Mus musculus: one gene and its partner. The protein of the gene in region 2 purifies or fractionates together with the protein of the main gene of each other region. This does not show direct contact. Links are inferred from orthologs where the notes say so. Each region holds a gene or a part of one and is shown on either strand. Other genes may lie near its edges. The genes, in order: Hnrnph2 and Plod1.

The links.
Region 1: the proteins of Plod1 (region 2) and Hnrnph2 purify together in Homo sapiens (affinity purification with mass spectrometry; 3 studies listed by BioGRID and IntAct, counting the BioPlex papers as one, with this or other methods). This does not show direct contact. The link is inferred for Mus musculus from reciprocal best matches to the Homo sapiens genes PLOD1 and HNRNPH2.

Annotation. Positions count from the first base shown.
Region 1 is NC_000086.7:134,604,179-134,607,560, reverse strand, and holds the end of Hnrnph2 (heterogeneous nuclear ribonucleoprotein H2), read right to left. Parts: intron 2,707-3,382; 5' UTR 2,654-2,706; coding exon 1,304-2,653; 3' UTR 501-1,303; downstream 1-500. UniProt on the Homo sapiens protein: This protein is a component of the heterogeneous nuclear ribonucleoprotein (hnRNP) complexes which provide the substrate for the processing events that pre-mRNAs undergo before becoming functional, translatable mRNAs in the cytoplasm. Binds poly(RG).
Region 2 is NC_000070.6:147,917,179-147,926,009, reverse strand, and holds part of Plod1 (procollagen-lysine,2-oxoglutarate 5-dioxygenase 1 precursor), read left to right. Parts: intron 1-361; coding exon 362-493; intron 494-2,764; coding exon 2,765-2,886; intron 2,887-4,507; coding exon 4,508-4,612; intron 4,613-4,877; coding exon 4,878-5,003; intron 5,004-5,699; coding exon 5,700-5,841; intron 5,842-7,116; coding exon 7,117-7,230; intron 7,231-7,810; coding exon 7,811-7,876; intron 7,877-8,600; coding exon 8,601-8,705; intron 8,706-8,831. UniProt on the Homo sapiens protein: Part of a complex composed of PLOD1, P3H3 and P3H4 that catalyzes hydroxylation of lysine residues in collagen alpha chains and is required for normal assembly and cross-linkling of collagen fibrils.

The DNA of each region.
Region 1 (3,382 bases), on a different chromosome or scaffold from region 2:
GTAACAACCCAGCCATGGTCACCCACAAAGTGTGACCCAGTAAGATCAGTGTGATTATAACCCCAGTGCAGTGTACAGCAGTGGCAGATCACTGGGACTTCCTGGCTGCCAGCCTAGTTGCAGGCTCAGTGAAAGACCCCATTACCACCAAGACAATAAGGCAGGGCATTTAGAAAAGGAGATCCAATATTGTTCTCTACCCTCTAGCAACACACAATCAAAATTTAGGCTATGAATATAGCTCTGTTGGTACAGTTCATGTCTTGTATGCAAGCAGCCCTGGGTTTGTTCTCCAGCACTGCATAAACTGGACAGTGACGTATGACTGCAATTCTAATCCTTAGGAAGTAGAGGCAGGAGGATCAAAACTTGAGTCATTCATAGCCTGGAATATTTGAGAAAAAAATTAAAATTTCAACAGCAGAGAACTTTAAAAGCCAGTTACTGTGTGTCCATATAATAGAACATGATTTTAAAAAAGAAAATCAAACTATGCAAGATTTTTCCAGTTTTTAAAAGGAAGATTTATTTAACAAGTTTCACTTAGTACAATACATCTAAATGGAATTCACAATACAAGGTAAGGTTTAAATCAAAGCCCCAGAATTCCATACAAATAACATGACCAAACTCCTAATGTATTGGTATCACATCTCAAAATTGTTCCGGATCTTTAAAAAAAAAAGTGAAAGTGTACACTCACGTGCCTTACAGGATATTAAACCAAAAAGCTAGAATTAACAAACATGCCAAATGTTGTCACTTTGAATCATAGACACAGCTCCTATATATATTTTTTTTTACAGAAAAGCATGTTTTTCAACATGCATCTGAAGTTTTCGATGTATTGTGGTATAAGAGCAACATTTAACGTAAGTGAAACTGCTTTAAACCTAAATATGCTTGCTGCTTAAGTACACTCCTACAACATAACTAACTTGAGGAAAGCTCAAAGGGGAGTTGACAGTTATGGTCAATACTGAACTTGTTATTACATCCTAGATGAATATTTTCAGTGTTCAAAATTGCTGAGCTTAAAGTTTGAAAACAATCTTAACTTTCACTTTACAGTAAGCATGAATCACAAGCTTGTAATGCGAAACTGTTAAAACTTAAATTTTTGTTCTTTTTTTTAAAAAAAAAAAAAGGAAAAAGAAGAAAGAAGCTGACCAATAGTGATCAGAAGCAGTTGTACTTCCCATTTACCAATCATACTGGATATAAAGACACCCTCCCTACTCTATCCAGTTCCTATAAAGATAGCTTTTATTCATGTAGATGTTATTGGATGGTCCCTTGCTTCCTAAGCAAGGTTTGACTGATAGTCACTTGAGTTTTCCTGAAGAACTTGGTCATATCCACTCATACTGCTCTGACCACCATAACCCCCTCCATAGCCACCACTCAGCTGCTGGCTGGCCGGACCTCCATAACTAGACTGGTTGGATAAACCCATCCCTCCCATCATCTGGCTACCGTAAGCACCACCACTTGCCCCTGCTGTAGAATTCAAAAAGAGCTCTACATAGCTATGATCATAAGCTCCTCCACTTGTCCCTGCGGTAGAATTCAAGAAGAGCTCCACATATCTGTGTTGCATATTTGCTTTATCTTTTGCCATAGCTGCCACAGCGTCTTCATGAGTAGCAAACTCAACATCTGCCTCACCAGTAACTCTTCCATCAGGTCCTATTTCAATGTGCACTCTCATGGGATTAAGAGGTGAGAAAAAATTGTAAATATCATTCTCGGTGGCTCTGTATGGTAACCCCCTCATATGTACACAGTGCCCCGTGGTGCTCTGGAAACTGGACCCACCATCTCCATATCTATGATCAGACATTCCTGAGAAACAGTAGTTTAGGTCTCTTCCAAATCTATCAGACCCAAAACCATACCCGTCATTATAACCTCCATAGTCATCATAGCCTCCATACCCTCCACCATAGGCACCCCGCCTCATTCTTTCAAACCCGGCTCCTCTGCCAATGCTATTATACCCTCTTCCAGCCCCTGGCCTATCGTAAGGACCCGGGCGCTGCATAGTCATGAGCTTTCTAGGTGGATCATAGTGGGTTCGGACTTCAGCTCGGCTACTCTTGAAGATTTCGATGTACCTATGCCCTATTCTTTCCTTGTGTTTCTTTAAGGCCTTCTCAGCTATCTCCTGTGAAGCAAACTGCACAAAAGCTTCCCCTGTGCTCCGCCCCTGAAAGTCCACTGGCAGTGTCATCCCATTTGGCACAATTTCCAACCCTGAAAAGAACTGAACAATTTCTTCCTTGCTACAGCCAAATGGGAGTCCTCTGAGTCGTACAAAACCATCATTGGCAGTATCAGGACTATTTGGACCTGTATGCTTTAACACCCAATCCATTTCAACACTGTTGGATTTGAATACTTCAACATATCTGTGTCCCATGGTTTCTCTGTCTTTCTTTAAAGCCAATTTCACTTCATCTTCAGATTCAAGTTCGACAAATGCTTCACCACTCGGTCTGCCTTCTCTGGTGTAGATGAAACGAACACCTGATGTGCCATTTTGGATTTTGCAATCAGAGAAGAAGCGCATCACTTCCTCGGCTGAGCAGGACCAGGGTAGGCCCCTGACCTTCACCACGAACCCCTCCCTGCCCTCTGTGCTCAGCATCATGGTGACTGATGGACTCTTGGTGGCAAGCTTGGCTCAATGCAAATTCAATGTGGCTTTAAAAAAATTAGAAAACTATTGTCATGAAAAAGTGTATATAATATAGTAAGAGAAACAAAGAAAACTATTATTTTACAAGTTCACATCAGTAAGTTTTTCAAAGGAGCCATATGAGCAAAGACTGCATAAAACTTTTAATCCATTCACTTAGCGAGTGCTTATACCATTTCTCTTATGTATCAGGTCTAATTAACAGTGGTTATTTCTGGGTAACAGTACTATAGGAATTTTTTTTTGTTTCCATGGATACTTTTTTCCTTTAGATAATTTCGAATATTCTAAATTTTCTGCACTGAGCCAATGTATTAACATCACAGAGAGAAAATTAAAACTAAATATAACAATGTACAACTATATCCCATTATAGAAAAATGAAAATATTCTTTAAATCAAAAGACAAACAAAACTCATGAGACAATACAACAAATCCATTAAATAGCCTAAAAATATAAAGAATGAATACAAGTCAATAAAATACAGAAGTACTAAAGCCTAAGAGATAAATGGAAGACATTAATATACATTTAAACAAGTTTTAGGAGCCAGCTTCAGTCCACAGTTCTGCCACGGACGAATCACAGTTCTATAGGAGAACTATGTGTCCTCAACAAAGTGCAGATACATAGACTACATAGAAGGCACGTTCATAGAAGGATTGGTTGATTACGTGTA
Region 2 (8,831 bases):
CAGCTTTCCTCCTGATGTCCAAGTCTGCTTTCTTCTCCCTAGCCCTTTGTGCCCCATAGCCTCTTCCTATGCTGTGAGCCCTTACTTGCTGTTATGTATGGCCCAGCTTGAACACCACACCAGCCAGGACCTGGTGTCATGCTATCCATTGGCCTTGGTAGGACCCTGGGACCTCCTGTACGTTTCCTAAACAGGCCTCACCGTGTGTTCTGTCAGCCCCATGCCTGCATGGCCTGCTTTCCTCTGTGACCCGGGCATCTAGCCTCCTGAGGGCATGCGCCTCCACCTCAGTTTTCCTGGGGCTTGGTAGCAGGCAGTACCTAGACCCTGCTTGACTCTTGTGTTGTCCCTCCCTCTGCAGGATGAAGCTCTCCCCACTGTCCTGGTCGGTGTGTTCATTGAGCAGCCCACACCATTTCTATCCTTGTTTTTCCTGCGGCTGCTGCGCCTACGATACCCTCAGAAACAGATGCGGCTCTTCATTCACAACCAGGTGAGTGGGAGCTACCCTGGGGGGCTCCGCTCGAGGGCCCAGCCCTGTGAGCTGGCGTAAGACCTCTGAGGATCTCAGTGAGTCTGGGCCGAGTGGAAGTGGGCAGCAGGCTGTGTCCCTAAATCACTAGGTCAGGCGGACTGGGCTTGTAGCCTGGCAATATAGCTTTCCTTGGTTGTGTGACCTGGGGCATCAACCTTAAACTCTCTCCTTCTTTCTTCTCCTTTGTTAAATTGAGGTCAGAATTGTGGTAACCACATAGAATTGCTGCGGATATTAAAAACAGGTTACCCTCTGAAGTGCACAGAAGAGTAAGGGGGTCAGGAGGAGCTGGCTAGCTACTGAGAAGGCTGAGATGTGAGGTTTGTAAGTTCAAAGCCAGCCCTGGGCTACATAGTGAGCTTAGCCCTCTCCCATTTAAAAAAAAGAAAAAAAAAGTTTTATAAAGGGGTAGGTAACATAGCTACTTGCCTAGTGTGTGGGTTCTAAATATTTTGACTTTTAAAATTATGTGTATGTGTGTGCGCGTGTACACGTGAGAGAGGCGCCCGTGGAGGCCAGATGAGGGTGCTAGACTCCCTGAAGCTGGAGTTGTAGGTAGTTGTGAACCATCTGATGTGGGTGCTGAGGACCAAGCGCGGGTCTTCTGGGAAAGCAGCAAGCACACATTTATCTATCTATCTATCTATCTATCTATCTATCTATCTATCTATCTATCTATCTATCTATCTATCTATCTACCTACCTACCTACCTACCTACCTACCTACCTACCTACCTACCTACCTACCTACCTACCTATCTATTCTGAGACAGGGTTTTTTAATGTAGCCCTGGCTGTCCTGGAACTCACTCTGTAGACCAGGCTGGCTTTAAACTCAGAGATCCACCTGCTTCTGCCTCCTGAGTGCTGGGACTAAAGGTGTGCACCACCGCTCTCAGCTCAGCAAGTACTCTTAATGGATGAATAGTCAAGTCTCTCCAGTCCGGAGCCCCTAGGTTTTACCCATAATAGTAAGGGGGTCGGGGAAGGCTGCCATTCATTCACAGGAAGTGTGTAGTGGGTAACCTTGGGTCTTAGTCACCTGTTTGTTGCTGTGACAAAACACCATGACCAAGGCAACTTATGAGATAAATCATAAATGGATTGGGCTTATGATTCCAGAAGGTTGGAGTCCACGGTAGTGGAACAAAAGCCTGGAAGAGCCGAGAGTGCACATGTACAGCTGTGAGCAGCAGGGCAGTGTGAGAGAGTTGTAGGGAGGGCAGAAAGCCTCTGAAATCTCAAAGCCTGCCCCTGCCCCTGCCCCTGCCCCTGCCCCTGCCCCTGAAACACACCTCCTCCAACAAGGCCATGCCTCCTAATCCTTCCCAAACAGTTCCACCAACCCAGGACCAGCTATTCAAACACATGAGCCTATGGGGGCTGAGCTCATTCATTGACTGTTGTCACTTTTTGTTTGCTGCCTGCTTTGTGCTTCTGGGTTTGCTTTGATGACAGTCAAGTTGGGTTGCCGTTGCTTTAGCAGCTTCAGGGGACAGGGGACGTAGGTGCAAGTCCTGAGCCCTGAGCTCTGTGGAGAGCAGGCCTGGTGGCTCAGCACTCTTCTGGCTGGGTAAAGCCTCTTCTCGCCTCTGCTTTGATGTGTCTTTGACTGGCCACGTCTTATTTAGTCTATGGGGCCCTTTGTCCTCTCTGAGGTCCGCTCAGATGCCTTGTCTGTGTCTCTCCTGTATCTTCCAGTTGTAGCAAGATGCCTGATACCAGGGACCCACAGTCTCCCACGCAGCTTGGCTCCCTGCCCGACTTCCAATGTACATCAAGCCCCTACAGACAGAAAGGCAGTGGGACACGCAACCCAGGATGGCATGTGTAGATGATGATGTCATACCACAGTGTCAATAGGTTAGGCACCCCTACTTAGGTTTAGGACTAAAAATCCTGTTCTCCCCATGTCCCCAGGATAGGGGCCCCAGGTACAGACTGTCAGATATGCATACAGATCCCCTGGTACACTGGTTAACATGACACCCCAGAGATCATCAGAGTTTCTGGATGTGGGGTCTTTGGGAAGAGGGACTGTCCTGATGATGGAGCTGTGAAGAGGCCAGTGGGGCAGGGCCTGGGCGGGGTAGATGAGCATGAAAGGATCGCCAGAGAAGGACGCTCTGACAGAGATGCAGATGGCAGGAGTGTGTCAGAGACAGCATTCTCTGGCTAGTGACGGGGGTGCTGCGTCTCCATCTGCCCCTTGCCTCCTCACCACCCCAGGAACGGCACCACAAACTTCAGGTAGAGCAGTTCCTGGCGGAGCACGGCAGTGAGTACCAGTCTGTGAAGCTAGTGGGTCCTGAGGTGCGCATGGCCAACGCCGACGCCAGGAACATGGGCGCGTGAGTCACTCATGGGTTCTCTCCATTCGTGGTGGTGGGCGGATGGGCCATGGCGTTGGGAGCAGCAGGCTGGGAATTCACAAGGCTCTGTGGGCTCCAACATAGTCCTGACCCTGTCTGGGTTTCGGGGCTCTCCTCTGTGAAATGAGGAAGTAGCAACGTGGGGACCCCCAGACAGTGTCATGTGGGTTCAGGAAGCAAATTGGAGCAAGAGGAAAGGCTGGAGGGTCAGAAGTAGATCAGGAGTGACAGAGAAACAGTCTCTCATGGTTCGTTTTATTATTAGACCTACAGTGACTCAGTAAACGTGTTTACCTCCTGAGCCCGCCCACATGGCAATCGGAGAATAGCCCCGACTTCATAACGTTGTCCTCTGACCTTCATAAGCATGCTGTGGTGAACTCACACGCTAAATAATAATTAAAAAAGTAAATGAAACCGAACAGAGATGAAGACACAAGAATCCATTGGTGTAGGTTTAGTGACGTAGCTCAGTTGGTAGCGTGATTGCCTAGCGTCCGTGGTGACACTGTTTGATCCTCAGCACCACATAAATTGGCCATGGTAGCACACACCTGAACTCTCAGGCAGGAGGGTCAGGAGTCAAAGGTCATCCTCACTTCTAAAGCTGGCTTAAGGCCAGTTGGAACTCCGTGCTGTTTCAAAAAAGAAAAAAAAGAAGCTTCCTCTGTCTCAGTCTGGGGCCGGCAGACTTCCTTCGAACGTCCTGTAAAGTGCTGGATGGAAATCAGCTCTGCCGGCCAGCTTGGTGGACTTCCTCACCCTTGTTGAGCTGTCTGCCCGCGTAGCGTAAAGATGGCCACCGATGTGTAATGAATGAGTAAGATTGTGTTCCAGAAAGATTTTATTTAGGGACACTGAAATTTGACTTCCTCACAGGAAGGGGTAATTTTCTTTTGATTTTTTTTTTTTTACCCCCTCTCCTAGTCATTTAGAAACAGAAAACCATTCTGGGTGAAACGAACTTGGAGGTGGGAAGCCTCAGACCAAGGACCATTGCTTTCTGAGCCCTGGACTAGTTGAACAAAAGGGAGCTTTTCAGGAAGGTTTTTGGCATTTTTGAGGCAGGGTCTCATATAGCTCAGTCTGGCCTTGAACTCACCGTAGAGCCAAGGCTGCCCTTAAACTTCAGATTCTCCTGCCCCAAGTGCTGTTATTTACAGGTGTGTACTATCATACCCAGCGACATGCCTTTTTTTTTTTTTTAAATGTGGGGTTCTAGAAATAAGCCCAGGACCTCACACATACCAAGGAAGTGCTCTGCCGCTGCTGGGGACCCCACTTTCCATTGCTGCTAGTTGCTCAATTGCTCTCAAGACAGGCACCCACCGTTGAGCCCCGTCTGGTGGGCTGTTGCTTCCTCCAGATGAAGCCTTTGTCATTTCCAAGTCTTTAATCTGAGAGCTCGGATGCCTGTCAGAGTTGGGAGGGGGACCTTGAGGTCCCAGCCTGCTCATGAGTTCCCGTGAGTCCTACGGCCCTTTTCCCTTTTCCCAGTACACCATAAAGCCAAGCTATGCGGACAGATGTGTCATCTTCTGAGGGAGCTCTGGGACCAACATCTCCCTGCCTCTCCCCTTCCCCTTTTTTCCTCTCACAGAGACCTGTGCCGTCAGGACCAAACTTGCACCTACTACTTCAGTGTGGATGCTGATGTGGCTCTGACGGAGCCGAACAGCCTAAGGCTCCTGATTGAACAAAACAAGTAAGACCGTGGGTGGCCTCCTGAGCAAAGCCTACTCAGGCTGGGAGAGGCCCCTTGACTTTCTACTCCTTGGGGCTCCCAGCCTGACAACTTCAAAGGTTGATAGAATGGCACCTTCCTGGGTCTGTCCCCAGCACAGGAGGGATGGGCTGTTTCTGATGAGCCAGGCCTCCCCTACCCGAGAGATCCCGGTATGCAAATCACTGGTTGCTGGGCTCCTCCCCTTCCCCATCCTTAGTCTGGTCTGCCTGTACCCCCTACTCAGGAATGTCATTGCGCCACTCATGACCCGCCACGGGAGGCTCTGGTCCAACTTCTGGGGGGGTCTGAGTGCAGATGGGTACTACGCCCGCTCAGAGGACTACGTGGACATTGTGCAGGGCCGTCGTGTGTGAGTATCCAGTGCTTTCATCTTTTCTGGGTTTGTGGTGCCCCTCCCCTGCATGACTGCTCTGGGTGAGCTGAACCTCAAGGAAAGAGGACTAGAGTCAGACACACAGAAGGATTCCTGAAAGTTGTCGTGGGCTCCCATGCCCAGGGTGGGAGGGGGAGATCAGCACTGTTGAGTTTAGGATTTAACTCAGTAATAGAACGTTTGCAAGCCCCCCCCCACCCCCCCCCGTGTTCCGTCCCCAGTACCGAAACAAAAGAAAAAAGTCCGATTAGGTCTGGCAAGATGGCTGGCTCAGTGAGTTAGGGCACTTTTTGCCAAACGTGACAATGTGAGTTTGGTCTCCGAGCCCCACACGGTGGGAGGAGGGAACCAGTTCCCAAAAGTTGTCCTCTGAGCTCCACCCATGTCTTGTAGCTTATACATGCATAGCCACATGTATGTACACAAAATAAAAACATATAAAAAGAAAATGAATATCCACCAAATGAATACCCCCCCAAACACTGACTCAGGTTCAATAGACTCAACTCTTGATTCTCCTGCCTCAGTCTCTCAGGTTCTGAGATTACATATGTGTGCCAGCACACCGAGTTTATCTATAATTTGATACAGCCTTTTCTTCCAGGCTCTGGGCTCCCAGGCTTTGAGCCCTCAGCGAGCCTGTGATCCTGTCATCTCCTTCCTCTCTCTCAGTGGCGTCTGGAACGTGCCTTACATCTCAAACATCTACCTGATCAAGGGCAGTGCCCTGCGGGCTGAACTGCAGAACGTAGACCTTTTCCACTACAGCAAGCTGGATTCCGACATGAGTTTCTGCGCCAATGTCCGACAGCAGGTCAGTGGGGCTTGGGGCCGGGGTGGGGCTTGTACTTGTGCCAGGAGTGTGGTCCTCCAGCCATCTTGTCACTGTAGGAAGGAGCTTCTGAGGGCTCTGGGGTGAGGCTGGTCCTCCTGCCTCAGTCTCCCAGGTTCTGGGATTACAGACATGTGCCACCACACCCAGTTTATTTATTATTTTGATAGAGCCTAAAGAAAATCGAACTTCCCGCCTCGATGTAGTCTGGTAGTTATGTCCAAGAGACATTTATGTGTCGTCATATCTCGCCGCATATCTCTTTTTTTTGTTTTGTTTTTTGTTTTTTGCTTTTCTTTTGTTTTTTGTTTTTTCTTTTTTGCTTTTCTTTTTGTTTTTTGTCTTTCAAGACAGGGTTTCTCTGTGTAGCCCTGGCTGTCCTGGAACTCACTCTGTAGACCAGGCTGTCCTGGAACTCAGAAATCCTTGTGCCTCTGCCTCCCGAGTGCTGGGATTAAAGGCGTGTGCCACCACCGCTCGGCTTTTGTTTTTGGTGTGTGTGTGTGTGTGTGTGTCTGTGTGTGTCTATGTCTGTGTCTATGTGTGTATGAATGAGAGTGTGTATGTGTGTCTGTCTGTGTCTGTGTGTCTGTGAGTGTGTATGTGTCTGTCTGTGTGTCTGTCTGTGTCTTTGTGTGAGTGAGAGTGTGTGTGCATGTGTGTCTGTCTGTCTGTGTCTGTCTGTGTGTGTGAGAGTGAGTGTGTGTCTGTCTGTCTATGTATCTGTCTGTCTATCTGTCCGTGTCTGTGTGTTAGTCAGAGAGGGGGCAGTGTGGTGCACATATCCCATGGCGTGCATGTAGAGATGAGGAAACTTCATGGAGCTGGTTTTCGCCTTTTGCCTTGACACAGGTCCCAAGGATTCCACTTGGGTCTGTCAGACTTTTATCCTCGTCAGTCCTGGCTCATTGCTTTGATGTAACGGCTTGGTTAGGTTTTTCCCCTGTGATCAGCATGTCAGGATCACAGCCCTTGGGAGCGTTCTTGCCCTGTAGGCTCGAGGCTCTGGGCTCAATCCCCAGCGTGGCAAACAAGAAAAGGAGGAAGGGGGAGAGAAACCTTTTCTCGTCTCTTCAGTCCTCCAGGAAGCCTTCTCTGATTGCATCCCTGGGGTGGGGATGTGACGGGTGCTGGGAGCACATACTGTACTCACAGGTCTTTAATCTGGTTGAATCTGGCTGTGGGCACTGCATGCCCCGCCCCTCACCCTCTAGGGTGTGCAGAGTGAGGAAGCTTTTCTATCTATCAACTCTATAGGAGGTGTTCATGTTCCTGACCAACCGGCACACCTTTGGCCACCTGCTTTCCCTGGATAACTACCAGACCACCCACCTACATAATGATCTCTGGGAGGTGTTCAGCAACCCTGAGGTAAGACCTGGCTGGTTGGACGAGGGCTGGAACTCAGAGAGACTCCGGTTGGCAGATCTTGTCAACTGGAGACTGCATGACCTGTTCTCCACGAGTCCCCACTCACCTCCAGGGCTTTATTCTAGTATAGAGGGACACATTGCCACCTAGTGGAGCAGGGAGCTATGACTTAATTGAGCCCTTTGGTCATCCTTATTTTGGTTCTAAGATGGGTCTTCCCTGGCTTGGCTTACTCCTGAGGGTGTTGCCTTGATCAGAGGAAGCAGTAGTTGTGACAGTGTGTGACAGTACACACAAATGATGGGGTGTGTGGCTGACATGGGCACCTGTACATGCCTATACACAGACACAGAAGCACACACGTACGCATAAGTGCAGATGTGAGATCCTGTGTATCCCGGCAGCACTCCCACACCCAGCAGGCAGTGTAGTTGGCCTCTGACGAGGCCATACCTGCTCACATTTCGAGGAGCCTGAAAGCTGGAGACGCTTTAGGAGCCACCGGTGCCGTTACACTTGAGGTGGCCACAGCTGACCCAGGGCAGGCCTGGGAACCCAGTCTGTGTCGTGTTCTCTACAGGACTGGAAAGAAAAGTACATCCATGAGAATTACACCAAGGCCCTGGCGGGGAAGCTGGTGGAGACGGTAGGGGGTTCATAGCCCACACATGCTGCTGTGGGAGTACATGAGGGTGGAGATTCAATGTGTGTGTGTATTGTGCAGCGGGGGAGCCGTCTGTCTGTCTGCATGTCTGTCTGCCTGCCTGCCTGTCTGTCTGCTCCGACAGTGCCTGGGTGGATGGGCCTCTCTCCCAGCAGCGCTTTCCAGCTGAGGTCCGTAGATACTTTGACACCACCCACAATGGGCCCTCCCACCCTTGATTACTAACTGAGAAAATGCCTTACAGCTGCATATCATGGAGGCATTTCCTCAAGGGAGTCTCCTTTCTCTGTGATAACTCCAGCTTGTGTCAAGTTGACACATAAAACTAGCCAATACAGATGGAATGGAGGCAGAAGGACTGTCCCCAAACAGAGCCTCCGAGGCAAGAGTGAGGGATGGGGCTCTCTCTTCTCACTCACACCAGTAGTCTCTGCAAGGTGCACACACTCCCCAGGCTGATACTGGTAGCAGCGGCTGTAACCTTGGCTGGAAAGTCTGTCTGGTCTCTGTCTTTCTTCAGCCTCTCAATCAATCTAACAGCATCCACTGAGCCGTTACTCCTCTGGGTCACTCAGAGTGTTCCCCGAGGATCAAGGAGTGGGCTGGGGGGGAGACTCATGAGGAGCCCCGCAGGGGTTCCCACGTGTTTAGGGGGACATGGTGCTGTCATTCTGGACTCCGATGATAGACTCTTCACTCTTCCCAGCCTTGTCCGGATGTCTACTGGTTCCCCATCTTCACGGAGGCGGCCTGTGATGAGCTGGTGGAGGAGATGGAACACTATGGCCAGTGGTCTCTGGGTGATAATAAGGTAATGCCTCAGACACCTGGGAGGCTGCAGGAGACTGCCCTTCTAGGTTCTTCTCCTGGTTACCTAGCCAGTCTGTCCAGGGCTCTTTACTTTCAGGGTGCAGACAGGCAAGAGCACAAGGCTTGG